Lytechinus pictus: one gene and its partners. The protein of the gene in region 4 purifies or fractionates together with the protein of the main gene of each other region. This does not show direct contact. Links are inferred from orthologs where the notes say so. Each region holds a gene or a part of one and is shown on either strand. Other genes may lie near its edges.

What was found.
Region 1: the proteins of intraflagellar transport protein 57 homolog (region 4) and intraflagellar transport protein 22 homolog purify together in Homo sapiens (affinity purification with mass spectrometry; 3 studies listed by BioGRID and IntAct, counting the BioPlex papers as one, with this or other methods). This does not show direct contact. The link is inferred for Lytechinus pictus from reciprocal best matches to the Homo sapiens genes IFT57 and IFT22.
Region 2: the proteins of intraflagellar transport protein 57 homolog (region 4) and intraflagellar transport protein 20 homolog purify together in Homo sapiens (affinity purification with mass spectrometry; 3 studies listed by BioGRID and IntAct, counting the BioPlex papers as one, with this or other methods). This does not show direct contact. The link is inferred for Lytechinus pictus from reciprocal best matches to the Homo sapiens genes IFT57 and IFT20.
Region 3: the proteins of intraflagellar transport protein 57 homolog (region 4) and intraflagellar transport protein 46 homolog purify together in Homo sapiens (affinity purification with mass spectrometry; 3 studies listed by BioGRID and IntAct, counting the BioPlex papers as one, with this or other methods). This does not show direct contact. The link is inferred for Lytechinus pictus from reciprocal best matches to the Homo sapiens genes IFT57 and IFT46.

The regions. Positions count from the first base shown.
Region 1 is NC_087246.1:23,441,019-23,448,912, reverse strand, and holds the start of intraflagellar transport protein 22 homolog, read right to left. Parts: upstream 3,022-7,894; 5' UTR 2,858-3,021; coding exon 2,822-2,857; intron 1-2,821. UniProt on the Homo sapiens protein: Small GTPase-like component of the intraflagellar transport (IFT) complex B.
Region 2 is NC_087246.1:4,617,684-4,624,609, reverse strand, and holds the start of intraflagellar transport protein 20 homolog, read left to right. Parts: upstream 1-3,916; 5' UTR 3,917-4,372; coding exon 4,373-4,499; intron 4,500-6,926. UniProt on the Homo sapiens protein: Part of intraflagellar transport (IFT) particles involved in ciliary process assembly. May play a role in the trafficking of ciliary membrane proteins from the Golgi complex to the cilium.
Region 3 is NC_087252.1:34,530,758-34,537,611, reverse strand, and holds the start of intraflagellar transport protein 46 homolog, read left to right. Parts: upstream 1-3,850; coding exon 3,851-3,892; intron 3,893-6,854. UniProt on the Homo sapiens protein: Forms part of a complex involved in intraflagellar transport (IFT), the bi-directional movement of particles required for the assembly, maintenance and functioning of primary cilia. May play a role in chondrocyte maturation and skeletogenesis.
Region 4 is NC_087252.1:13,083,951-13,091,228, forward strand, and holds the start of intraflagellar transport protein 57 homolog, read right to left. Parts: upstream 3,006-7,278; 5' UTR 2,904-3,005; intron 409-2,903; 5' UTR 93-408; coding exon 1-92. UniProt on the Homo sapiens protein: Required for the formation of cilia. Plays an indirect role in sonic hedgehog signaling, cilia being required for all activity of the hedgehog pathway.

The DNA of each region.
Region 1 (7,894 bases), on a different chromosome or scaffold from region 4:
CAAGCTGAAATGCAAATTGCTACTCTGACAACAAAACATTTTAAGATCTTTTTGAAAAATATGTTACATGCCACAAAAGAAATAGGCCAACCTGGAGAGAGTTTAAGACTATTTATAGAAAATCGTACACATGATTACATACATTGAAGAAATAATGTGAATAAAGCACATCTGGCTGATTTTAGTTTCATAATTTGGACCAGAATATGGGACATTTCACGCGCTATTTTGTAATCATAAACATGATGCATACAAGTATAGCAAACTAATGAAAGCGTGAGCTAAAATACTTTTTATACTTGAAAACAAGACATTCACTGTGATCCCCTCATGAAAAGTACTCATTAAAAAATGGAATGCAAGCTAAAAGCACAAGCATAAATTTAATTTTGATACATTGACCTAAAATTTTGCTAATTGAAATTCTTCCCTTCCCCTTCTTCCCTTTTCTTCCTCCTTTTATTTTTCTCATCCTTGCCTTTAGGCATTACATTGGCGGATTACCATTGCCATGCTCTCCCTTCTAGCAGAGCTTAGTTCTGAATTGTCATTCTCATATTTTGGATGGAGGAGACTTTTTCAAAGACTTTTTATCACTCCACAATTTTTTTTCTGTTCTTTTTCTCTTCTTTTGGGGTATCTTTTTTTCTCCCTTGTTTTCTCTTACAATTTCCCTGCCCCCTCCATTTCCCAATTCATTATTTCTATCACATTATATCTTACCCTTTTACTTTTATAACTTTGTCAGGGGAGGCAAATATTGCCACTACAATATCTGATTATCATGCAAATAATTGTTTCTAATTTGCCAGTCTAAATCTATTCCCTTAACATCAATCTTCAAGACACACTGGAGCCAAATACAAATGTTACACAATCCAGATCCCATGATAGGACCAGGTGTGGTATTCTCATTTCTGAGATCTACTTTATCTTTAATAAAAATAAAATATTTTATTCCTGTTAAAATCAGTGAGACAAAATATCCTTAAAATCCCCTTGAATTGGTATTCTGAGAACCATAAATCTTAATTTTATCTTGGAAACATGCAACAATTTTTGAAGAAATACTAGTATCCAATGAGAAATGCTGCTTTATAGCACTCTCATCTCACTAAGCCAATGAGGTGTGCTGAGGTATGATGAGTTACATTTTGTCCATTTATTGAATTCAAATGGCGCTTGCACGTTACACTCTCAACTTTTGTTCGATGTCAATGTTGCATCATAATAATAATAGGCATTTATATAGTGCCATCTATCTAGAAATAATCTATTCCGAGGCGCATTTTTTATTATTATTTCCCCGGCTTTAGCGCGAGCTGCCTTTCAGCACTCGGTGCATTCAAGGAATTAGTCCTGCCTGGTACCCATTCAACTTACCTGGGTTGAGTGCAGCACAATGTGGATAAATTTTTTGCTGAAGGAAACTACGCCATGGCTGGGATTTGAACCAACGTCCCCCTGTTTCAAAGTCAGAAGACTAATCCACTGGGCCACAACGCTCCAAAGACAGTATATATTAGTCAATTAAATTAGTCTCATTAAATAATTCTTCATTCTACAGGAATATTTCATTCCTCAATATTTTATTTTTCTTTAAGACAATATTTTTAATTTCAACATTGGATGTATGATGGGGGACCTAATTATGCCAATTTTAATATTTGAACAAATGATCTGTCACTAATTTGTGGTAAATATTCTAAAGATCCTTAAGCAAGAAGAAAATACCACAAACTCACTTACAAAAAGTCCTGCTGTGTTTTCAAAACACATCTTTATTTTGCTGCAGCTGCCGCCTGATGTACATTAGGAGTCGTAAAGCTACGCATTCATCATGTAAAGAAATACCGGTAGTATTTCCTGTGCCTTAAGTATGTTAATATTCATTATAGAAAAATATATGTAAGCATGAAAGTCACTGTTTTTTTCCTTTTCAGTTTATTTTCCCGTTTTGGTGCATTTCAGGCAAAAAAGGAATAAAAATCTTTATTTTGGTACAGTTCCGCCAGTATGTTGTTTTACAATTATAATGATGATTCAATGTTACATGCGCTAAGTTGTAAGCGCACCACCTTGTGTTGGTCTCTTGGCCACGGTTATTAACTCTTTGTGCGCATCTGTACTGAATTATTTTCAGGGAGGGAAACAATGCATTGTTTGTTGAGTGTGAAATGCGAAGTTCGCACGGCACTGAGTGTGCATTGGTGCGAAGTACGCGTGGAAAGGGTTAAAGACAGTTACACGTAACCTCAAAGTTGTCTAGTTTATTTATTTCTTTTAGTTTTACATTATAGTTGTGCCCTTATTATTATTAACCCATGGCGTTCTGTTTATGAAATAAAGACCACAAAGACAAAAATCAATGAGCCCCGTCAGGAGGATTTTGCATTGTTAACCCCCTAATGAGTAATGGCAGCTGCACGATCGCGAGACGTCTGTGTACGAGAAATTAAAAAAAAATTAATAGGGCCTATGTTAAAAATAAGAAACTCCTCGAAACAGACGGCTGCCAGCTACATCATGTCATTATTGGCGCAAGTACCGGTACATCACCATTGTCTAACCTAGCCTATATCTAAGCCTAAAAAGTACCTACAAAGCCTACGCCCACTGCCTAATTCCATGAATAAAGAATTGTCACTGCCTCTTCATCCCACTTCTCAGCCTCAGGCAAGAGGCCGCAAATGAACGGTAGCTACGGAGACGGTACCCGGAGCTGACCCTGCAGAGCGGGTGCGCAGCTCCGTTAATGGTACCGGTACCGCCGCGCCGGTACTCGTACGCGCCTGACTGCCAAATAACCAGCAATTCATACCTCTGTTGGCCCAATCATCAGTATCTTTGCTTTCATCTTGATACCAGAAGTAATTCAGACTGCGCTCCTTAATGGTCCGGCTACTTAGTACCGGAATTCACAACAACGAGCACCGCTAACTATTATTACTTAAATTAATTGATAAAGTCGACTGCTAGCTATATAGCTGCAGAAAAATGCTACTCTGTAATTTGTACGTAGAGGGCGTCCTTGTAAGATAGATGCAGATTCGATGGCTGCTGAAAATAGTTTGTTTAAGGACGTTCCACAGTACAGTTAAAGTGAAATCCATATCATTTTCACCAAACTTTGCACATAGATACTTTAGAACCTTAATATTCGAAATATGCAAAAATTAACATAGGTCCATGTGCTTGATTTTTTGCTATAGAACTTCAAAGTTCACCCAAATTGATGTTCTTAAGAATTGCGCATCCAAAAGAATTTGGCATTTTTAGACCGCCCTAAGATTACTACAATGAGTTTAAACCTCTATTACTCAGTCAAAATACATGAAAAAGTCATCAAATTTCGCAAGAGAGTTAATAATTGTATCGTTAGAATGGAGAATATATTTATAATGCTATTTGTTTGCAATTTTAAGTTTAACAGCACTGTCAGTTCTTAAAAATGGCGTAAAAGATAACAAAATCCCAATCTAAAAAATGTGAAATTTCAGTAACAAACTACAAAAGTACAATAAATGCTGCACTTTATTCAAAATCCATGTCATTTTCACCAAAATTTGTAGAGTTGTAGAGGACGGTTTACCTAAGAGGAACAAACATTAAAAAATAGGGGTTCATATGTGCTTGTTTTTAAACTATCAGTATTTTTATTAGAGCAAATGTGCTTTTTAAAACACCAAAAATGCGCCGAATGCTTAGTATCTATGTGAAGAAAAAATCAAAGCCACTCTACCATTTATTCAAACTCGGGGTAATATTCGTGATTCTTGGCAGCACTGCAGAGTAAAGTATTTTGAAATTGTAGAGAATCTTTTTTTGAATGGTCCATGGAATAATTCCAATTTTTAGCTTCATGAAATAACGCATCGGATCTGCAGTTAAAGTGCAGAAGATGAGAAAAATCAGCACATACCCGCAGCTAATTAATCACCTGTTCATCCATTGTGACGTCAGCGCGCAGAGTGTAAACCGTATTTATTTGTCTATGGTGTAAACTATGCGCAGATCATAATGCGCACAAACATAACTGTGGAACGTCCTTAATTTACTATCTCATTATGCTGAAAATAACAATTTTTATTGCCAAAAGGGTTGACTTGTGTTAAAGATATATAATAGATATTAATATCGTCACTGGCCTTATTTCGCTCAATTTATTATGCCAGACATACATGTAGGCCTACCTAACGTAAAATTGAATTGGGGGCCGAATATCGTCACTGGCCTTATTTCGCTCAATAATTTTTATGTCAGATATACATAGGCCTACCTAACGTAAAATTTGATTGGGGGAATATCGTCACTGGCCTTATTTCGCTCAATTATGCCAGATATACATGTAGGCCTACCTAACGTAAAATTTAATTTGGGGAAACAATGGATAAGCTCTACTCTTTATATTTTTTTCATGATCATAATTAACAACAGTACTAAGTATGTGAAAGACATACCGTAGATGTATATTTTATGATAAAAATACACAACGGAAATAACTATTGATTACACTAGCGTATACCTAAGGGGGCAGACTGCCCCCCCCCCCTGACGAGTCACAACTCATGCAAAGGACGTATCCCTGTCCCCCCTGACGAGTCAAAACTGATCCCTGACGAGCCACAAGTGGCCCCCTCCTTTGAACTTAAAGACCTTTTTTTTTTTTTTTGCTTGTCAATTTTTTTGGCGAACGAAATTTGACCCCCTTTGGAAAATCCTAGGTACGCCACTGATTGATTATATATCATTTTGATAATATTATTAAGTAATCTGGACCTCGTCACGCACGCTCATTATTTCGAAGGGAAAATCCTAAAGATTCATTGAAAGGGTGGTCTCTTTGATTTTTTTCTTTACAGATAAAAAGTTAACGAGGAAAGTTTAAAGTCTTCCACAAACATAATGTATTTAGGGGGTAATTTTACTGGCTTTCCTTCCAAATACCCGTTAGAGAGAAAATGATTCTGTTAGCTCTGATCCCTGCCAAATGCTCATGCATAGGGGAGTAAGTGGTTCCTCGAACCCAAAGGGAGATCTAATTAAGAAGCTGAAACAAACATAAATTAGATTGACCATCTAAATATGGGAGGCTGGGGGATTCGAAGTTATGCTTGTAACCCTTTAATAGTTGTATAAGAACGCATTTGGAATATTCTAGAGTAAAAAAAAAAGAGGAGACGGTTATTTGTTTATTGTTGTGATTTGTGGTGTTGTGGGGGGGGGGGCTTAAAAAGTATGTGGTGTTGCAGTGTTGATAATTTCAATATAATGAAAATAATTTATCATGGACGGCAGCTTTGGATGACTGCAATATTTCATTTTCATAATTTCATTTATGATTTCTGCAACTTTTCCAAATCAACAAAGCAAATATACAATAAATCGAGTACGTGACAAAATATCTGGCAATCAAGACACTGCACGAAGGTTTTTTTTAGTCATCAGCATTCTTTGCTACCTTTTAATGCATGACTCATTTTGTTTTGCGTAAAGCCAGTGGCAAAAATAATTTGTTTGATTTTGTTGGGTGATTCGTATATGAACATGTGTTGGATTATGAGAGAAAATAATAAACACATCTTTAAGAAAATTACATTTGTATGGTAAACCTCATATCAATGTCCTGAATCGATCAATAACATTTTGCGGGTTCCATCGCTCGCTCCGTATTCAAAACGTCCCTTCTCATGGCGTTTTGATGATATTGTTCAGTTTAGACCGGCGAAATGTTGAATGACCTGGAAAATTGACATGAAATTTAGACTGCAGAGTCAGAACCTTGGGCAGTGTTGTAAACACATCCGATTGAAAACCTTGGGCGAAGATAGCCTATTATTTTAAAGGGATGGTCCAGGCTGGAGATAATTATATCTAAATGAATAGACTAAAATTCAAAAAGCAAAATGCTGAAAATTTGATCGAAATCGCATAACAAATAACGAAGTTTTTTTAATTTTAAAGATTTGCATTATTCCGGTGAAACATAGTTCTAGGCATGTCTTTTTGAAAATTCATTAGGTGAGCTGATGATGTCATATCTCCATTTGTTCTTTTGTATTTTATTACATGAAATCAGGTTTATTCAACATTTATCTACCAAGAACTAAAACAATTGGATTTACAACTGATTTAGTTCATTAGTTATTTATTGCTGCAATATACAGTGTATTTCATCATAACTGATCCACATCATTTACACATGTATGAAAAAAAAAAAAAAACATTTATGAGTTCATGTGATAAAAACAGAAAAAAGGAAAGTGGGGATGTGACATCATCAGCCCACCTAATGAATATTCATGTCGATGTGCATATAACTGTTTTCACAAATATTGATAAACTTTAGAATTCAATAACTTTGTTATTATTTTTGTTATCCGATTTTGATGAAATTTTCAGCATTTTGCTTTGTGAATTTTACTATATTTATTTAGATATAAACATTTTCAGCCCGGATCATCCCTTTAAGCAACAGCCATGGTCATATTGGGAAAGGCCATGGTATTTAGGCGACATAATAAGCCTAGACATATTTTTTTGGCAGATGTAAAATAGGGGTACAGTTCAACGAGTTTGATAAAAAAAAAAAAAACATGATGTGCACCCCTGCCACGCCCCCTATTTTGATTCATCTTCCTCCTTCCTATCCGATTCCCTTTTAATCCTATCGTCCTATTTCTGCACTTTTTTCTAACTAAAAATTTATCTCAGTTTTATCATTTTTCCTTCTTAAATTATTTTTAAAAAATCGTAAGAGGTATACGGCTTGCTCCTCTCTGTGGTGATCCCATGATCCAGAGGACTTTGTCCCCAGCCCTCTGACTCAATGGCTGGCCAATGGGGGCAGAATTAACAATATACAGTAAAGACATGAACGGATGGAAATAATTATAATAATAATAATAATATAGGGTATTTATATTGCGCACATATCCACCTTGTTAGGTGCTCAAGGCGCTCCTATATTATTACCCGGCTAAGCTAGGCGTTCATAGCGCACACAGCTTTTTAAGGAATTACTTCCTACCGGTACCCATTTACCTCACCTGGGTTGAGTGCAGCACATTGTGGATCAGTTTCTTGCCGAAGGAAATTACGCCATGGCTGGGATTCGAACCCACGACCCTCTGTTTCAAAGTCTGAAGACTAATCCACTGGGCCACAACGCTCCAAATTATCAATTATGATAATTTTGCGAAATTTTCATTGCTCATTAAATGTTTATGAAAGCTAGACAAACATACAAATAACCTTCAAACTGTGATTCTCATAAATTTGTATCTTTCCTGACCAATTATATCGTTTGCATTCAACTAATCACAAAATAAAGCAAAAAAAAAAATCGGAAGGCATACATTATGTTAGCAAGGGAATTATGCTTACTTCCCAGTGACAGGTTAATTGGGGCACCCCTGGATTGCCTCCCCCCAAAACTGATATCAGCTAGATTTCTTTTGTAGATGATTATGTCATTTTGTGCTAACTTGAATTAGGCTTGTTGTGACTTCCTCGTCCCCTTTCTTCCCAGTTAAGAAATCCTTCATTTGTCACATTCGTCACTAATTACCACGGTCGTGGATTGAAAAGTGAAACCTATTGTAACTTCGGAAAAATTTAATGTCAAAATCCAAATAGATTAAAACCAATTAAGGACGTTCCACAGTTATGTTTGTGCGCATTATGGTCTGCGCATAGTTTACACTCTGCGCGCTGACGTCACAATAGATGAACAGGTGATTGATTAGCTGCGGGTATGAGCTGATTTTTCTCATCTTCTTCACTTTAACTGCAGAACCGATGCGTTATGTCATGAAGCTAAAAAAATGAATTATTTCATGGACCATTAAAAAAAAATTGTCTACAATTTCAAAATACTTTACTTTGCAGTGCT
Region 2 (6,926 bases), on a different chromosome or scaffold from region 4:
AATCACTCACTATTTCGTTTGTTTTTTACTGTTTGAATTATACAATATTTCATTTTCTATACATTTGACAATAAGGACCAACTTGACTGAACCATATAGTATTAAACAAAGCTAATTCCACATGTTCAGGGAGGAATTAATCGTTGTATCACTTGACATTGAGGAGAAAATTAGAATATTTCATATTTCCTATAATAAAATACAAAAGAAATAGTGAGAGGATGACGTCATCAGTCTCCTCAGGTGCATACAGACCAGGATGTGCATATAACTGTTTTTTTTAATTAAGCAAAACTTAAAAATGTCATAACTTTCTTATTTTACATCCGATTTTGATGAAATTTTCAGTGTTATGCTTGTTGATTTTTTCTCTTTTTATTCAAATCAACTTTTTGTTGGGGTGGACTTGTCCTTTAATGTAATTGTTGTAAAACAGTACTAAATTACTCCATAACAGTATCTCTTGTGAAAAAAATATTTGATTTGTATTAGGTCTACTCTGTGATTGTGTAGTTATACCTTGTTTCAATAAGTTCATTACAAGTTGAACATTTAACTACATCACACCAATGACAAAAGGGGTAGAAGCATAGTTTTGCAACCTTTACTTAAAAGTTCAGCTCTTTCAAGAAAAAGCTAATCTTCACCATACAAAATGTGAATATGGATTGTTTAACAACTATATACAAGATTATGTTCTGCCTTCTTGAAATGGTTGCAGGAGGCTTATTCCAGCTTGTGTGGCTAATTTTATCTCCCGACAGTTTATTCTTTTTTTAAAACCTCCATTGAAACTTGCCTCACCTCCTTTTAAATTGGCTTCACCATAATTTGTAGTACAGTTTATTATTTTTTAAAAACCTCCATTGAAACTTGCCTCGCCTCCTTTTAAATTTGTAGTACAGTTTATTCTTTTTAAAAACCTCCATTGAAACTTGCCTCACCTCCTTTCAAATTTGTAGTACAGTTTATTCTTTTAAAAAACCTCAATTGAAACTTGCCTCACCTCCTTTTAAATTGGCTTCACCATAATACAGTTTATTTTTTAAAACCTCCATTGAAACTTGCCTCACCTCCTTTTAAATTGGCTTCACCGTAATACAGTTTATTCTTTTTAAAAACCTCCATTGAGGCTTGCCTCACCTCCTTTTAAATTGGCTTCACCATAATTTGTAGTACAGTTAATTCTTTTTTTAAAACCTCCATTGAAACTTGCCTCACCTCCTTTTAAATTGGCTTCACCATAATACAGTTTATTTTTTAAAACCTCCATTGAAACTTGCCTCACCTCCTTTTAAATTGGCTTCACCATAATACAGTTTATTCTTTTTAAAAACCTCCATTGAGGCTTGCCTCACCTCCTTTTAAATTGGCTTCACCATAATTTGTAGTACAGTTAATTCTTTTTTTTAAACCTCCATTGAGGCTTGCCTCACCTCCTTTTAAATTGGCTTCACCATAATTTGTAGTACAGTTTATTCTTTTTAAAAACCTCCATTGAAACTTGCCTCACCTCCTTTCAAATTTGTAGTACAGTTTATTCTTTTTAAAAACCTCAATTGAAACTTGCCTCACCTCCTTTCAAATTTAGTACAGTTTATTCTTTTAAAAAATCTCCATTAAAACTTGCCTCACCTCCTTTTAAATTGGCTTCACCATAATTTGTAGTAGTTTATTCTTTTTAAAAACGGACTTGCCTCGCCTCCTTTTAAATTGCCTTCACCATAACTTGTAATACAGTTTATTCTTTTTAAAAACCTCCATTGAAACTTGCCTCACCTCCTTTTAAATCGGCTTCACCATAATTTGTAGTACAGTTTATTCTTTTTTTAAACCCTCCATTGAAACTTGCCTCACCTCCTTTTGAATTGGCTTCACCATAATTTATAGTACAGTTTATTCTTTTTTATAAACCTCCATTGAAACTTGCCTCACCTCCTTTTAAATTTGTAGTACAGTTTATTTTTTTTAAAACCTCCATTGAAACTTGCCTCACCTCCTTTTAAATTGGCTTCACCATAATACAGTTTATTCTTTTCAAAAACCTCCATTGAGGCTTGCCTCGATCACCTCCTTTTAAATTGGCTTCACCATAACTTGTAATACATGTATTCTTTTTAAAAACCTCCATTGAAACTTGCCTCACCTCCTTTCAAATTTGTAGTACAGTTTATTCTTTAAAAAAACCTCAATTGAAACTTGCCTCACCTTCTTTTAAATTGGCTTCACCATAATACAGTTTATTTTTTTAAACCTCCATTGAAACTAGCCTCACCTCCTTTTGAATTGGCTTCACCATAATTTGTAGTACAGTTTATTCTTTTTTAAAAACCTCCATTGAAACTTGCCTCACCTCCTTTTAAATTGGCTTCACCATAATTTGTAGTACAGTTTATTCTTTTTGTAAAACCTCCATTGAAACTTGCCTCACCTCCTTTTGAATTGGCTTCACCATAATTTGTAGTACAGTTTATTCTTTTTTAAAAACCTCAATTGAAACTTGCCTCGCCAGCTCCTTTTAAATTTGTAGTACAGTTTATTCTTTTTTAAAAACTTCCATTGAAACTTGCCTCACCTCCTTTTAAACTGGCTTCACCATAATACAGTTTATTCTTTTTAAAAACCTCCATTGAAACTTGCCTCACCTCCTTTTAAATTGGCTTCACCATATATACAGTTTATTCGTTTTAAAAACCTCCATTGAAACTTGCCTCACCTCCTTTTAAATTGGCTTCACCATAATACAGTTTATTCTTTTTAAAAACCTCCATTGAAACTTGCCTCACCTCCTTTTAAATTGGCTTCACCATAATACAGTTTATTCGTTTTAAAAACCTCCATTGAAACTTGCCTCACCTCCTTTTAAATTGGCTTCACCATATACAGTTTATTCTTTTTAAAAACCTCCATTGAAACTTGCCTCACATCCTTTTAAATTGGCTTCACCATAATACTGTTTATTCTTTTTAAAAACCTCCATTAAAACTTGCCTCACCTCCTTTTAAATTGGCTTCACCATAATTTGTAGTACAGTTTATTCTTTTTAAAAACCTCCATTAAAACTTGCCTCACCTCCTTTTAAATTGGCTTCACCATAATACAGTTTATTCTTTTTTAAAACCTCCATTGAAACTTGTCTCACCTCCTTTTAAATTGGCTTCACCATAATATTCAGGTAAGGTATATTCATTCTTTTTTTTAAAAACATCATTGTTCACTTAAGCTTCCCTCACCTAGATCAATTTGCTATATATAATACCTTTTATTCTACACTATTCTTCCCTTTAAAAAAACCTGATTGTACTCCTGCCTCCCCTGATCTGACATTTGCCTCTCAACGTACTGGAAATAGATACCCTTTGTTCAATATTTTTGTGTTTTTGACACCCTTATCACGTTACGTACGTAACGTGCCCTCTCTTGAAAAAGACATCCTTTTTACGTGTTTTTTTGGTCGTGCATGGTATCCACTCGTCAATATAAGTGGCCCCCCGGGCCTACTGTACAGTGTTATTTTATTATCTCTTTATATCGGAAACTTCGTTTTACCGAATTGCCATGCACTCTCTCCGACGCGTTTGAAGTCTTATACCCTTTTTACACACGCTAAAATTTCCTTAACCCCGTACTATAGGTGGGGCTAAATTGCCATTTAGCCCCACCTATAGTACGGGGTTAAGCTTAGCCCACTTTCTTTTTACACAGCATTTTTGCAAAGTGGGCTAACCCCACCTTTAGTACGGGACTATTTGGCCCTGCAAAAAAGCAGGGTTATCCCAGCAATTGCGGTGCTAAGAGCGATAGTACGGGGTTAAGATCGCTAGTGTAAAACGAAAGTGGGCTAAGCTTAACCCCGTACTATAGGTGGGGCTAAATGGCAATTTGGCCCCACCTATAGTACGGGGTTAAGGAAATTGTAGCGTGTGTAAAAAGGTACGAGTGAAGTACTTGTACTACGAATGGTCGACAAAAACCACTAGTCCGGGGTTAGCGAGTTTCGTGTGTGAAAAGCAAGCATTCCTTATCCGGGGTTAGCAATAACAATTTGGCATGTGTAAAAAGGAAAAAAAATAGTACGGGGTTAAGGATAGTACGGGGTTAGCGATAGTCCGGGGCTAAGAAAATCCTGTGTAAAAAGGGTATTAGACAGCATGGCATACTACCAGCCGATGGTACACACACACGTTATTTGACAACTTGTCTCTGGAGCCAAAGTTCCTCGCATATAACTATCTGCATGCCTGCACGCAGTGTGTATTGAACACGCACGACCACGATCTAATGAATATTCATCGGCGAGACTGACGTCATTTTACGAGTCTCCTTTCAAACTTGGATCATAAGTGCCTACCATTTACTAGTCGCAGTTACCATGGCTGACGAAGCTCTTGCAAATGCTGGTTTGCACTTTGATGACTTAAACAAAATACGAGTATTGGAACCTGAAATTCAAAGCCAGACGACAGAATTGAAAGAAGAATGTAAAGATTTTGTGGACAGTGAGTAAATTTAATTTAATCAATCGAAGTATCGAATGGAACCACTCAGGCTCAGCTCGACGCCCGTGACCAGTAGAGGCGCTGGTCAGAAAATTGGGATCGTCCCCGTTTACAGGGACTGTCTCAGTTTATAAGGATTTCTCCACACAAGAAATCTAGGAAAGTTCATTCACCTGTTGAGTGCCGACACCAATCAAGAGTGCTAGTCAATGTAAACATATCGGGTTTCATAACAAGATTATTGGAAGACGGCAAGTCATAATAAATAAACGGTGAAGTGGGGGGAATTGAGGTCACTGAATCTATTTTTAGCACTCTCAATTCCCCTAATTGCTGCCTTTGTCCCGTAGGGAGAAGTGAAGAAAAAACGTCCCCATAAACAAGGACAGTCTCAATTTATCAAGACATAATTTGTCTTGGTTTATAAGGATATCCTTGTTTTCTGGGACAATCCCAATTTTTGGACCAGCGCCTCTACTGGTGACTTAGCTCTGTGGTGCCTGCCCCTGCTCCGGCGCCGCCGCGGCGCTCCGGGACCGGGCGCCTGCACCTGCTGCGTGTGTGCGCGGTATATAGCCAAACCTTTAAGTTTTAACGTTACTTATTTTACTATTTTAGTCAATTTAGAGCTCATTCATGCATGTCAGGGGTAGACAGCCGAAATCGAAGTAAGCCACTGCTTTTTTCCCCCTTGTTTAAATTAAGCTTATTTCTTTGACTAAGTTTAGACTAGGCCTAGAGGCTAAAACGGAATAGGGCCTAATTAACTTTACCGGGAAGTGGAACTAGGCTAGTTCTTTTTATGTAATTATTCAATTTAGAATAAAGTGAAAAATCAAAGAATACAAAGATCCCTGTCAGTTGGGGTTTTGCATTGCAAATTCCCTAATGGCGGGTGCACGTTCGTGAGCCATCTGTGTATGAGGAGAAATAAAAAAAATTAAAAATGTTTAAAAACTTCTTGAAGCAGACGGCTGTCGAATGTTAGTCATGCTAATTAGATTCTACCAATCAAAATTCACTGGCAGTTTATTCAAGTCAAGAGAATGTCAGATCCTGGGCGCGCATTTCACGAAACAGGCATTTTAGACGCAATGACTGACTTTTCTTGGCACATGCACAAAATAAAGAAAGAAAATAGAGAAAGAGAGTAAGTACTAACTATAGAACAAGCAAAATAAATAAAGAAAGAAAGAAAGAGAGAATAAAAAGAAAGGACGAAAAAGTAAAAAAGAAGACATAAAAGGTTCAGAAAGCAAAAATAAAATGAAAGAAGGAAAGAGCAAACAAATGAACAGAAAAAAAAGAAAGACCCCCAAAAGGAAAAAAAAAAATGGAAGAAATGAATAACAGAAAGAAAACAAAGAAAAAAATTAAAAAGATCAAGGGAAGGAAGAAAATGAAGACAGAAAAAAAGAAAGAAGAAAGGAATACCAAAAATGATGACCAAAGAATGAAAGAAAGAGAGAGAAAGAATAGAAAAAAGGAAAAAGGTAAAAAAAATGAATGAAAAAGAAAGAAGGAAAAAAAAAGAAATAAAGAAAGAAAGATAGAAAAGGGAAACCAAGAAGCAAAAATAAAAACGAAAGAAAGAACGAAAAGGGAAAATACATGTATTTCATTATTGTCATATTGTATGATAGTAATTATTTACAACTAAAATGTAACCTCAGACAGTCAACAGTGTCCCTCTTTCACTATTTTGTTTTCAATTGTTTGAATTGTACAATATTTGTATTTTTACAGATTTGACATTAATGTCCAACTTGACTGAACCATAAAGTGTTAAACCAATGGTAATTCCACATGTTCAGGGAGGAATAAAACTTTGTTTTACATGACAGTGATGAGAAAATTAGAATGTTTCATAATAGAGATTATTATCTAAATAGAGCATTTTAGCCATACATTATAAACGCTTATTTTGGTCTGCATCAATTGCCTGTGCAGTATCAGAGCGTATCTCTAACAGTGACCAAAATCCGATGAATATCCCATAGGCTCGTGTACAAAATTTGCCATTGAGTATAAGACCATCAACAGTCTAGTGCGCATGCGCGAATGCGTAAAATATACAACGCGTACAACAATGAAAGTAATGCGATGCACAGCATAGATCACAATTACGCTCAATGAGGTCATAATGAACTACATATAAGTCACATGTCAATGACCCTAAAGTGATGATGTGATAAGTGATATGACTTTTTTTTTAATGTGTTATGCTTGTTTTATTTTTCTCTTATTCAAATCAACTATATATTTTTTTTTTTTGGGGGGGGGCAGTTTAAACTCTAATGCCTCAAAGTGTTGTATATCTAAAGCATTTCATGCCAATTTTGTGTTGGCTTCAGGGTTACAATTAAGTTATTCACATATATCTCATCCTAAATTTGATTTTTTTTTTAATATATGCTCACAAAGAGC
Region 3 (6,854 bases), about 21 Mb from region 4:
GGTCATGTTCTGCAATACAGGGGTCTGCAAATCTCTCTCCTGGTCGCCTCCAGACTCTCGAACGTCCATCATTGTGGTCAAGGGAAAATCTGCTCTCATCTGTGAACAGAACTCTACGCCATTGCTGTCTGGTCCATCTGACATGCTCCCGGGCCCAGTTGAGACGAATTCTTCTGTGAGCAGGGGTGAGTGGGACACACTGAGCTGGCCGTCTGGCATGCATTTTGGCTCTGTGAAGTCGGTTACGGATTGTTTGAGTGGAAACAATCACTCCAGTTGCTGCAGCGAAGTCATTGTTGAGGCGGCGTGCACTGTGAAAGCGGTTGCGGAGGCTGAGATTCGTCAAGTAGCGATCATCTCTAGGAGGCTGGAGCCAACGCCGGAGACGGAGTTCAGTGGAACAACCAACATAACACTAACAGAGACCAAAGCTTTTGGTCTACTTTGAATGAAACAGTCTGTTAAGTTTAGTTTACTCCAACGATGTTGTAGGACTAACGCACTCGCACGTATTGCGAGGTTAGTATACTATACTTAGTCCGGGTTATAATTGAGCAAGGTGCCACTTGGAGAAGGAGAAATTTTCATATAATGCTTCTAGACCAGTTTTTTACGCTGAATATGAATATATGAGGTAAACAGGCTGTATCCTGAAAATTAACCTGTGAGGGCGCTTTTTTCAAAATGGCCGCCAGATTTTCATAAAATTTGAATATTCGTACATAGATTTTTACATAAGCATCCAATTGCCATGAAGTTAGTGTCATATGAAAGCCAATTAAATTTCCTACAATTTGGTACTATTTATAGGGGATAAGTAGGTCATTTAGCCGAGATTTTAAGTAGAAAACTGCATTTTTTGTATTTTTTCCCAAAAATTGAAAATTTTGCAAATACATGATTTTACATAATTCTAAGAAAAATGAATCAATTACCTTGAAATGTTCCTGAAGACTTTTAAAATATATTATTATCACGTGGATGAAATTTCAACTTTGTATCATTTTTCTAAGCAAATTTGTAAGGTATCAAACTTGAATTCTGCAATATCATAAATGTTGCTTTTTGTATGCATTTCCATAGACTAATACGTATAACATGTATAATGCATGTATGTATAATGTTTACCGGTAGTTAAAAATTAAATGCAATTATCTCCGCTTGTACCACGTGGAGAATTAAGAGTAGGCTTTTCTGTATCAGCTACATAAAAAAAAATGTTGGCACATCAAGGCCTGACCCTCTCATGGGGGTGGGGGTGTCGAAGTCACCCCTTTGCTATATCATGTTGTTGTATATTGCCTATTTGTTAAAAAAATTACATATTTTTTGAGCACCCATGGAGGCAAAAACAGGCATTTCTGCTATACAGTACAGCCACTTTGATTGCTTTGAAACCACTTGGAGAGGAAAGAATAGGCTTGTTCTACCAGCTATACATCTAAAGAAGTAGCACATCGAAGCCTACCCCTCTCGGGGTGGGGGGGGGGGGGGGGAACTTTTGCTTAATATTGCCAATTTATTTGAAAATTTACAATTTTGGACCCAACATTCAGGCCAAAAAGCGTTTGTGCTTTGTTGTACACCCCGTTTTATTGATTTGAAACCACTTAGAGAGGAAAGAGTAGAATAAGGTAGAGTTTATCAGCTACATATATATAAGCGCTGGCACGTCGAACCCTAGCCCTCTCAGGGGCTGTCTAAGTCAACCCCCTCCCCCCGCCCTCTATATCATGTATATTGCCTATTTTATTGGATATTTCACCATTTTGGATCACCCATTGAGGCAAAAGCGCGTTTCTACTATATAGTACAGCCAATTTTATTTTCTTGCAATGACTTGGAGAAGAAAGAGTATTATAATAGACTTTGCTCTATCAGCTATAAAGAAGTGTTGGCAAATCGAAGCCTCTCCCCTTCAGAATGTTCAGCGGGCTGTAGAATTTACCTTACCAATTTTCGGTATTTGACTATCTATTAGACATTCACAATTTTGGATCACCTATTAAAGCAAAAGGGCGTTTCTACTATAGAGTACAGCAAATTCTATTTACTTGCAATGACTTGGAGAGGAAAGAGTAGGCTTTGCCTTATTAGCTCCATATAAAGAAGTGTTGGCAAATCGAAGCCTATCTCCTTCAGGCTGTAAAAGTTACCTCACTAATTTTCGGTATTTGGCTACTTGTTGAAAATTCACTATTGTTGAGCCCCCATTAAAGCAAAAAGGCGTCTCTGATATATAGTTCTGCCACTTTTATTGCCTTTAAACCGCTTAGAGAGGAATGAATAGGCTTTGCTCTATCAGCTATAGAGATGTGTTGGCAAATAAAAGCTTACCCCCTTCTGGGGGCTGTCAAAGTCACCCCCTCTCCCCTTTGCATTATTGCCTATTTATTGGAAAATTCACAATTTTTGAGCCCCCATTGAGGTAAAAAAGAATCTCTGATACATGTATGTAGTTCTGCCACTTTTACTGCCTTGAAAGAGTAGGTGGACAGAATATGCTTTGCTCTATCAGCTACATATAAAGAAGTGTTGGCACATTGAAGCTTACCCATCTGGGCGGCTGTCAAACCATTCCACCCCTTTTGCATTATTGCCTAATTATTTGAAAATTCACAATTTTGAGCCCCCATTGAGGTAGTATGCACTTCTGCTGTATAAAAAAAACCGATTTCATTTTCTTGAAACCATTTGGAGAGCAAAGAGTAGGTTCTCCTCTTTTAGCTATATATGTCGAATTGCTGCCGTATCGACGCCTGACCCACTTCAGGGACTATACATGTAGCTGTAACCCCACCTTTTTTACGATTTTTGCCAATTCATTGAAAAACTCGCAATTTTCGAGCCCCCATTGAGGCAAAAAGGTGTTTCTGGTATATAGTAGAGCCACTTCTTTATATAGCTGATAGAGGAAAGTCTACTCTTTCAAGGTGGTAATAGTGGCAGAACTATATATCAGAACCGCCTTTTTGTCTCAATGGGGGCACCAAAATGGTGAATTTTCAATAAATAAGCAATAATGAAAAGGGGGTGGGGTGATTTCAACAGTCCTCTGATGGGGATATGCTTTATACGTAGCTTTTAAAGCAAAGCCTTTATTCTTTTCCCTCCAAGTGGTTTCAAGGGTGAAAAAATGCAGAACTATATATCAGAAATACCCTTTTGCCTCAATGGGGGCTCCAAAATGGTGAATTTCAAGAGGGGGGGGGGTAATTTCGACAGTCCCCTGAAGGGAGTAGGCTTTTACATGTATTTGCCAGCACATATTTGTATGTAGCTGATAGAGCAAAGCCTATTGCCATGATTGTTTCCTCTCCAAGTGGTTTCAAGGTAGTAAAAAAGGCAGAGTTGTAATCATAAATGACTTTTTGCCTCAATGGGGGTTTCAAAACGGTGAATTTTTTTCAATAAATAGGCAATAATTCAAAAGGGATGGGGTGATTTCAACAGCCTCCCGGAGGGGGTAGGCTTTTATTTGCCAGCACTTCTTTATCTTCTTTATATGTGGCTGATAACGCAAAACCTATTCTTTCCTCCCTAAGTGGTTTCAAGGCAGTAAAGGTGGAAGAACTATATATCAGAACCGCCTTTTTGCCTCAATGGGGGCTCCAAAATGGTGAATTTCAAGAGGGGGGGGGGGGTAATTTCGACAGTCCCCTGAAGGGAGTAGGCTCTTATTTGCCAGCAAATCTTTGTCTGTGGATGATAGAGCAAAGCCTATTGCCATGATTGTTTCCTCTCCAAGTGGTTTCAAGGTAGTAAAAAAGGCAGAGTTCTAATCAGAAATGACTTTTTGCCTCAATGGGGGTTTCAAAACGGTGATTTTTTTTTCAATAAATATGCAATAATGCAAAAGGGATGGGGTGATTTCAACTGCATCCCGGAGGGGGTAGGCTTTTATTTGCCAGCACTTGTTAATATATAGCTGATAGAGCAAAGTCTACTCTTTCCTATCCAAGTCATTGCAAGAAATTAAAATTGGCTGTACCATACAGTGCGTATAAAAAAACGGGACAGATTTGAAAAGTCTATAAAAATTTTGTTTCAAATAATGATGTCTATATTTTGGTGTTAATAGATGCGCTAAGGTCTTATCTTTGAAATGCAATTAAAAAAGATAAATTTTGTTCATGCTTGAGCGAACGCAGGACGTTTTTGTTGGGGGTTCAAAAAGAGGCTTGCGCCAGAATTGCAGAATATTAATAATATGATGATCAGATGATCAGACTTCTTGCTAATCGGGAGACTTCCTCTTGTCCTTTTCATTATCTGTGCCACAATTTTCGAATTATGCTGTCAAATTTCATTTACAAATTTATTCATTTAATTGATATTTTGTTTTTTTCATTTAAACTTCTCTTACCTTTTAATTTTCCTTCATAAGTAACTGAGAAAAGAAGATTTTTTGTCAACCCAAGCAAGAAGATTTGAATTATTAATTGGGAAAACTTGTGATTATTCAAATCCTTTTATTATGTGAAACAAACTATGTTATGTACCTTTAAAAGACATGAATCTTTTTTTCAAGGGGTCATTAATTCCTTGACCAAGTTTATTTGCTTGACAGTAAACACAGGAAGCGATTCATGTCTTTCAATGACATGAATCCCTTGTATGTATTGAGTCAATTTTGAAGGAGCTAGATATGGAAGATCGGGTAAAATGTATTAAAAAGTTGTGAGCGAGCGAAGTGAGCACGCAAATATTCCCACTTTTTTATTACAATATCAAATTTTTTGATAGATTTTGACAAAATATTTAGAAAATAACACATTTTACTTTCTATCTTTCCTTTTATTTCCTGTCCACTCTTTTTCTTGGTCATGATTTTTTTTGAGGGGGGGGGGGGACATCCCGAGCGCCCGCCCATCTGTGTGGCACTGTTCAAAAGGCACCATAACCTTTGTAGCACTCAATGAAAGGATTTGAATAAAAAAATCCATGCTCTCCCATAATTCGATTGAAACAAAATTGTTTTAGCTTGAAGAAGGAATATTCAAAGCTAACAGAGAGCATATTAAAAAGAAACAACAGAATAATTCAAGCAAATAAATAGATCTGAAAATGAATTTTGACCGCATGATTTGAAAATCATGGCAAAGATAGTGAAAAGGTTAAGAGGAAGTCTGCTAATTAGCAAGAAGTCCGATCATCATATTTATAATTTTATGCCATTTTGGTGCAAGCCTCCTTTTAAACCCCAGACAAAAACATTCCGTGTTCGCTCAAGCATGAACGAAACTAAATTTTTTTAATAGCATTTGAAAGATAAGACCTTAGAGCACCTATTAACACCAAAATATAGACATCATAATTTGAAACAAACATTTTATAGACTTTTCAAATCTGTCCCGTTTTTTTCTATACGCACTGTATAGTAGAAATGCCCTTTTGCCTTATTGGTGATTTAAAATGGTGTAATTTTCAATAAATAGGCAATATACATGATATAGAGGAGGGGGGGGGGTGACTTTGACAGCACCTGAGAGGGCTAGGGTTCGATGTGAGTGCGCTTATTTATGTAGCTGGTAGAACGAACTCTACTCTTTCAAATCAATAAAATGGGGTGTATTATAATGCACAAACGCTTTTTTTGCCTCAATGTTGGGTCCAAAATGGTGAATTTCCAAATGAATTAGCAATTAGCAAGAGGGGGAGGGGTGACCTCCATACCCCCCCCCTCCCCACCGAGAGAGGTAGGCTTCGATGTTCTACTTCTTTTGATGTAGCTGGGAGAACAAAGCCTACTCTTTTCCTCTCCAAGTGGTTTTAAAGTAATTAAAGTGGTTGTACTGTATAAAAAGAATTGCCTTTTGCCTCAATGGGTGCTTCAGAAAATAGTGATTTTCCAATAAATACAACAACATGATATGGCCACGGGGTGGGGGGGGGGGGACTTCGACACCCCCACCCCATGAGAATGTGTTAGGCTTCGATGTGCCAACACTTTCTTCTATGTAGCTGATAGAGAAAAGCCTACATTAACTAGCGGAGATAATTGCATTTAAGTTTTAACTATACATTATACATACATGTATTATACATGTTATACGTATTAGTCTATGGAAATGCATACAAAAAGCAACATTTCTGATATTGAAGAATTCAAGTTTGATACCTTATAAATTTGCTTAGAAAAATGATACAGAGTTTAAATTTCATCCATGTGATAATAATATAGTACAGTTTTCAGGAACATTTCAAGGTAATTAATTCATTTTTCTTAGAATTATGTAAAATCATGTATTTGCAAACTTTTCAATTTTTGGGAAAAAATACAAAAAATGAAGTTTTCTACTTGAAATCTCGGTTAAATGACCTGCTTATCCCCTATAAATAGTATCAAATTGAAGGAAATTTAATTGGCTTTCATATGACACTAACTTCATGGCAATTGGATGCTTATGTCAAAATCTATGTACGAATATTCAAATTTTATGAAAATTTGGCGGCCATTTTGAAAAAAGCGCCCTCACGGGTTAATTTTCAGGATACAGCCTGTTTACCTCATATATTCATATTCAGCGTAAAAAACTGGTCTAGAAGCATTATATGAAAATTTCTCCTTCTCCAAGTGGCACCTTGCTCAATTATAACCCGGACTAACTAACCTCGCAATATGTGCGAGTGCTACGAACGTGTCTACGCAATCAGTGCCGTACCTAGGATTTTCCACAGGGGGGGCAAAACCGTCCGCCAAAAAATTTGACAAGCAAAAAAAAAAAAATAAATAAGGTCCTCAATCACAGACAAAGGATTTCGTACCAGAAAAAAAATAAAATAAAAAAGTCAATCACAAATAAAGGATTTCGTACCAGAAAAAAATTGACAAAAAAAAAGGTCTTCAAGCT
Region 4 (7,278 bases):
TTATCAAGTAGGTCTTCCATGATGATGTAATGCTGATACATCTGGCCTGGCCCGATCTCACTGCTGTCATCTCTTCCTTTCTCTTCCCCCATCTTGATTAAGAGTCTCTTGGGATACTATATCCCTGGGTTCTTGTATGGACACTGACTTCTTACACCAGTATCCCCAGTGTCCAAAAATTGCTTATAGAGGCTGTTCAGTGTAACCTCTCAGAATCAAACTTTCAGTTAAAATTTGATGGTAATTGTAAAGAAAAAAATTTCAAAAAATTGTATGAAGATCATACAACTGGGTATCTTTCAGCTTACAAGCTGTTGTGATGCCACTTCATATGAAAAAAATGTCTGTTGATGATAATGGACGACACAGTGGATTCCTATGACATTGCTCTTCTCCCAGAGTAGGATGCTGCAACAGAAAGAGATATAATTGATAGTTAAATAATAATATTCTGCATTTATATAGCTTTTAACACATCGGAACGATGTTTCTAAGCGCTTTACAGATATATTATTACCCCGGTCATCGCATCCTTGCATGCCCGCATACAATGTATGCACCTTCTCCGCTCCTTGGGGAGCATTCCAACAAGAGTTCCCAGACTCAATTGCTAGGCATACTGCATAGTTTCATAATATATGTGCCACCAATATTCATTATCTATCTTACATGTGCGTAAACAAATTTTACCTGACACACGCAAATAAAATGCAAGGGTCAGGAGTGACAATTTGAAGAAAAAAAATTATTGAACAGAAAAATTAGTCCGAATTAGAGAATACGGATTAAGTAGCACAAGTTAGAACGGAGGAAAACTGTAGTGTTGACTCTTGACAGTTCTGTCACATCTAATCATTTCACAGAATTTTGACAGAGCCTTTATAATACTTAGCCAGCAAAATTCAGGTAAAGTCAATCTTTACATTCATATGCTATTCCACGTTTGTTAGCATACATGTACACACTTCTGACAGTCCTTTCTCGTGTTAAGTACTGGTATATCTATATATTTTGTTTTAATACCATGGATACTGTACTACCACCAGAGGAGATACTCGTGTTAAGTATCGGTATATCTATATATTTTGTTTTAATACCATGGATACTGTACTACCACCAGAGGAGATACTACGATCGATGAACAGGCACTCAACTCAAGCCTACAGCATCATGGACTTAAAGTAAAGTAATAATCAAAACAATGATTGCAGGCATTAACAGAAAGACAAGAAAAGACTAACAGTACTGTCTGGCCAAACGTCTTTCATTTTGAAGCCAACCAAGGCCCTATTTAGTATTGCATGGAAGTTACAATTGAAGTTAACTTTGCTGTCTAGTCAGTGATTTTAATTGTAACATCCACGGAATCCTTGACATTTACTGGCCATTGAGCACATGACAGCAAAAACATTTTATGAATCTCTTTTAATGAAGCAGACCCCTGCACATGTCAATGGAATGCATGTACGAAGACGAAGTGATCCATTTTTTGACCTTGACTCAGTCAATTGAAACACTGCATGAGCATGGTTTCATCTGTCTCACTGAGCTTGACTGTCTTGACTTGAGTCAGTGGACAGTGAGTGATTGATAATGAAAAACTAACATTGTAAAAAAACTCAAAATAATTTTTTTTTTTGTCTTTTTTAAAAATAGACCTAGATTCTAGGCCTAATTCTAACTGCGCGAAGCTTCAGTCTCCCTGTACGCCGCTAGCTGCGGCCAGCCGTGCCAGCAGGCGCTGCAGAGCCGCCAGAGAGGAGCGCTCACCGAACACGGCCAATATGGGAGACTGTCTCCCATGAGAGAGATTATTTCCAATATTAGAGACTTTTGTAAATTTGGGTATCCAATTTCAGAGAGTCTCCAGTTTGGGAGACCAATTTCCTTTGCTTACATTTGCTGCAAAAGGATTAGCTTGGCAGCAAATAAAAATGTGATGAGCAGATTCCTCATGAAAAATTACCCCTTTTCAACGTCTACTTTGAAAATTCACCATCTACTTTTGTTTTGATAAGGATTTTTGTTGTCATCCACACACAAAACAAATGGGCTTCTGACCTCAGTGAGGCAAAATTTTGGGTGGAAAAAAAATCTGCTTTTGTTGGTGTTGTTTCTTTTGTTCTTTTGCAAAGCAAGTCTCCAATATGGGAGATTGTCTTCCATATTGGAGAGAGTCTCCCATATTGGCCATGCGCCTCTACTGACAAGTGACAGTGCTAGCTAGTGCTAGTCACGTCCACAACAAATCATTAAATGATGACATTGACAAGAGAAAGACAGAGATGGGATGGTGTAAAACTAAAAGTGAGTTTTATTTCATTCTTTTAACAAGTCCATGTTTCAAACATGTCGCACATTCATTGTATTTAGTCGAACAATAGTTAGATCTAGTAAAACGTTAGATCTATTTGATTTTGAGTATTTCATCAACTCAATCAAGTTCTAATTCTATCTTATCAATATGATATCAAGACAAGTTTCTGAGTCTGACTAGTCTGAGAGACTCTGTCAGTCTGTGTTCGTGTATAAACCGCAACCCCCATAGATGATTCCCCGACTAAAAAAGGTGCGGTTTATATTCCGGAAAACACGGTAAGTCTAAAGTCGGTGTCTGCAGTGCAGGAACGGGTCCAAGAAGGCAAGACATAGAGCTCCTCCGTCGCCGCTTACCGGCGGAGCTCGGAGCGGCAGCTTATTTGGTTACCCGCCCGGCCGGCGGCTGCCCCTACCGGAGCGGCACTGCCACTGGCGCTGCGCTCGCTGCAACTAGTGCAGCTGCTTTGGCTTTGCATTGCAGCTCAATTCCATATTCAAATCCCTTACACTTTAGTAGAAACATACGCTGTGAAAAAGAGGCTGGTAGACTTTGAAAAAATATATACATTTAGGGTATATCTTACCTCAACAACAGTGTCTCAAAGTGTTTAATGGTACCGATATATCGAACATTTCACAAAAATAACTTCACCGCGTCCATATCGTCAGGGAAATATTTGACCTTTGACCGAAGCGCAAGCCTAGGTGGTGAAGATGCGATGATATACAGTGCAGTCGTTTTTGTTTTCACTAATAATCACACCAATTATTACTTGGGAAATATCTCACTTTTCGGGTAGAAAATGATCAAGTTATATTTTATGTTATTATTTATTGTTATTAAGTATTATGTTACACTTTCATGGTATTACAATTTGCCAGAATATAAAGTATTTGAAATAATGCACTTAAAAGTATCTGTTTTATGAGACTATACCATCACATCTTCTTCTTATGTTGGTTTGAGTGGCGATTAGTCATATTTGACTATTGTCGCCAACTATATAATCATTGAGATACTAGTAATATATACTGTGGAGTATCTCTATGATACCATCTTTCGACCTCCATGATGATACTATAATATATCTCTATATGTACCATCATGACTACCAATTAAGGCATCCGAAAAGATTGAACCAAAAGAAGAAAAACAAGGTATAGCTTGTTGGCTGTGAGCAATATGAAAGTGTGTACTGGAGACGTGATAATAACGGATATAGGGAAAGTTTATGCGTCACCCACCAAAAAGGCATTTAAAAAAACAATCAAACAAAAATATGGATTGAAAATTCATGAATTTAAATTTTTAGCTGTATTTATTTTATTAATCATTCTTTTAATGCCTCTTTGTTTCGTCTCTGTTTTCAATGTGTTTCTATCTGTTTCTAGCTGTGCCACAATCAATGACCCCCCCCCCCCCCCCCGGGCGCAGCCAAGGAAGATTACTGGCCCTGGGAAGCGGGGATGCTGCGTGTCATAGGCAGCACCCCTTTCGAATTTCGTTAGGTCTGCAAATTTTGAGAAATGTACTAAAAATGCCAATTTTTTTTTTTTTAACCTATAGCTCCCCCACCCCTTTTTTTTTTACTCGTCAAAAATTGCTCCAGCACCCCCACCCCAAAATCGTTCCCAGGGCCCTGCATTTTCCCTGGATGGAGATCATGTATTACACCCGTCATATTTTTTTTATGTGAGGGTTATTATTCAGTTTTGTCATACATTTTAGAATGAAATTCATTAATGAAATAAGAAGTGGGGGGGGGCTATACATGTATGCGTCAAAACTACCCTTTTTTGTAATCTTAATATTTTTTTTATTCGTTGTTATGTATCTCAACACATGATGGCAATATTTTTTTTGTCTCGGGTCCAAAAGAAAAAGGTGCCGGTCAAAATCCAAAATGGCCGCCAATCCACGCCCCCCCCCCCCCCCCAAAAAAAAAAAAGTCACAGACGTTTTGGCCACAACTTCTTTATTTGGTGGTCTTTTTCTGAACTGCTTTTTGTGTCTATTCGTATATGTTTAAGGGGGGAGGCAATTTGTTTTTCCCCAAAATTAGTACTTTTAAACCATTATTTGTATAGAGTTAAAATGTGATATTACCTAAATTTACAAAAAATAGCTTTTTTTCGGTTTAGAGTGAAATGGATCTAATAAAAGTAATGATAATAAACAATTAATAGAGGATAATATTCATTAGAAAAAAATATATGGTGAAAACTATACTTTTTCCATGTTATACACAATTTCAATACAACAAACTTAAGCATGAGGACTACCAGTAAGGATCTCTCATAGCATTGACGATAGGCCTACTATCTGTTTAATAAATTAATACGTTCTGTTTTACTGAATTACTGGCTTCCCAATAAGGAAACTATGGTCTATTACGCCTAAAAACCCCAGAAAAACGTTGATTCAATAGAGAAAAAAACAAGCATAACGCTGAAAATTTCATCAACATCGGATATAAAAAAGGGAATTATTACATTTTAAAATTTTGCTTATTTTTCACAAAACAGTCATAATCATGCAGAACTCAGGGACATGCAAAATGAGAGAGTCGATGATGTCCATCCCGTGTACTCCATCAATCACTATTTCTTTAGTTTTTTTATTGTTTGAATTATATGATATTTCAATTTTCACCAATTTTCCATTAAGGACCAACTTAACTGAGTCATAATGAAATGCTATATAATGAAATAATTAAAATATTCATAATTCATATAGGCCTCATTACATACAAAAGAAATACGATGAGAGAGTGATGTTATCAGTCTCCTCATTTGCATCCAAAACGGCAAGTAGGTTTGTTTTGTGAAATTAGTCGAAATTTCAAATGTCATAATTTCCTTATTTACATCCGATTTTGCTGAAATTTTCAGTGTTATGCTTGTTGGATTCTTCTATTTTTATTTAACTCAACTTTTAGTTGGGGTGGAGTTGTCCTTAACTCGTCTGAGACCATTTCATAAAATTTGATAAGATAGCAATTCTTGCTGGAATGTCAGATTTCATTAGAATCACGAAGCAGAATTTTCACTGTTGTCATGGTAGTTGACACTCACAGTAAAACACTGTTTAAGATTTCATACAACGCTGTTTGCTACATGAACCTTACAGTATCTGTTTAACCGTTTAAACATTTTAATTTATTGAAAATTAGATATTGAAAATTAAATTTTGTTGCTTAAGATTTAAACACTTGTTAAAACTGTTTAAACAATTACTGTAAGGTTCATATAGTAACCAGCGTTTTATATATTTTGTTACTGTGATACATAGGCGGATCCAGGAGGCCCGAGGGGCCCGCCCCCCCCCCCCTATTGGCGGAGCAAAGAAAAAAGAAAAAGGGAAAAGAGAGGGGAAGAAAGAAAATGAAAGAAAAAGAGGGGAGGAAAAAAAGAAGAGGAAGACCATGAAGACAAGTGAGGGAAAGACATGGAAAAAAAATCTTTCATATCATTATATGAAATTTTCGCTCGCGCTTCGCGCTCGCATTATATGTTCGATTAGATACATATCTTGCTCAATAGACTGATATGGAGCTTAAAATGTCAAGTTTTTAAGTCATTATACCAAAACAAAACAATCAACTTTGAGCGGCCGATCGGGGAAAATATGGGTGAACAAAAATTTCGCCCCCCCCCCTCTCCCTATATTGGCGAAAGCTGGATCCGCCCCTGACTCTATCAAGAGTTACTATCTTCTCAACTGTTCAAGGTCTATTATTATTATAGGGATTATGGTTTCGGTCGTTTCGGTGATATGGGCATGATATTGTTTCTGCCTCAAGAGGGCGCAAGCCGCAACACTACAAGGCCCTATAGAATCGACATTTTCTCTTTTATCCTGCATTCAAAGAAATGGAAATGCTGTTGTGCACTTGTTGTTTTTTATTATTTTTTAAAGTTTACCGAGAAACTATTTTCCCCATTAACCCATCTACCATTTTTGACAATCATATGGAGTGTTCACCGCCACTTGCCACAGGGCCCTGGGGACGATTTTTAGTGGGGGTGCTGAAGTGAATTTGACAAGCAAAAGAAAACACACAGGGTTTTCATTACGAAATGTGGGTGGTTTCGGTCCAGAGAAATGTGACAAGCAAAAAAAGAAAGAAAGAAAGAAATTAAAAGGGGTGGCTTTCCTACAAAATGCATTTTTATTACATTTCTGCCATTATAAGGTTATGCCTATCGGATTTCCAAGGGTGCTGCTCATGGAAGATAGCACACCCAGCACCCCCAAGAGTGCTTCACCACCAGCACACCCGCTTCCCAGGGCCATGACTTCCCCCCCCCCCCCCTTGTGTGACGACGTCCCTGCTTTGGTGTTTGCGGGTGGTTTCCTTTTTTCTGTCTGTCTGTCTGTCTTTCTTTCTTTTCATTAGGGTGTTTATAGCCAAAATATATAAAATAATAGGAGCAACGTTGAACAGTCACTCAATATAAACCATATAAATATATATAAATATTGGTTAATGTGGTTTTATGGAAATTTACCCACTTTTTTAAGTCATAGGCGGATCCAGGGGGCCGAGGGGCCCCTACCCCCCCCCCTTATTATGGAGCAAAAAAATATTTAAAAAAAGGGGGAAATAAAGAAAAAAAGAGGGACAAGAATGGGAAAAAAAAGGAAGAGGATGAAGACGAGTAAATAAAATAAGACTTGGAAAATAAAATACATATATCTTATGTCACTATATAAACTTTTCTCTCTTGCATTAATTATCATTAATATCTTGCTCAATATGGAGCTTTAAATATCGAGTCAATGTACAAAACATATTTCAGCTCGGAAATTGAACTTTCATTATTTTGTTTGATTTACATTTTTTTAAAGCTCTATAAAAATGTCATTGTATGGTATGAATATCAACATTTTCTGCTCGCGCTGCTGCTCGCAAAATTTGATTGTCAGGTACCTATTATTTTCGTATATTCAGTTCT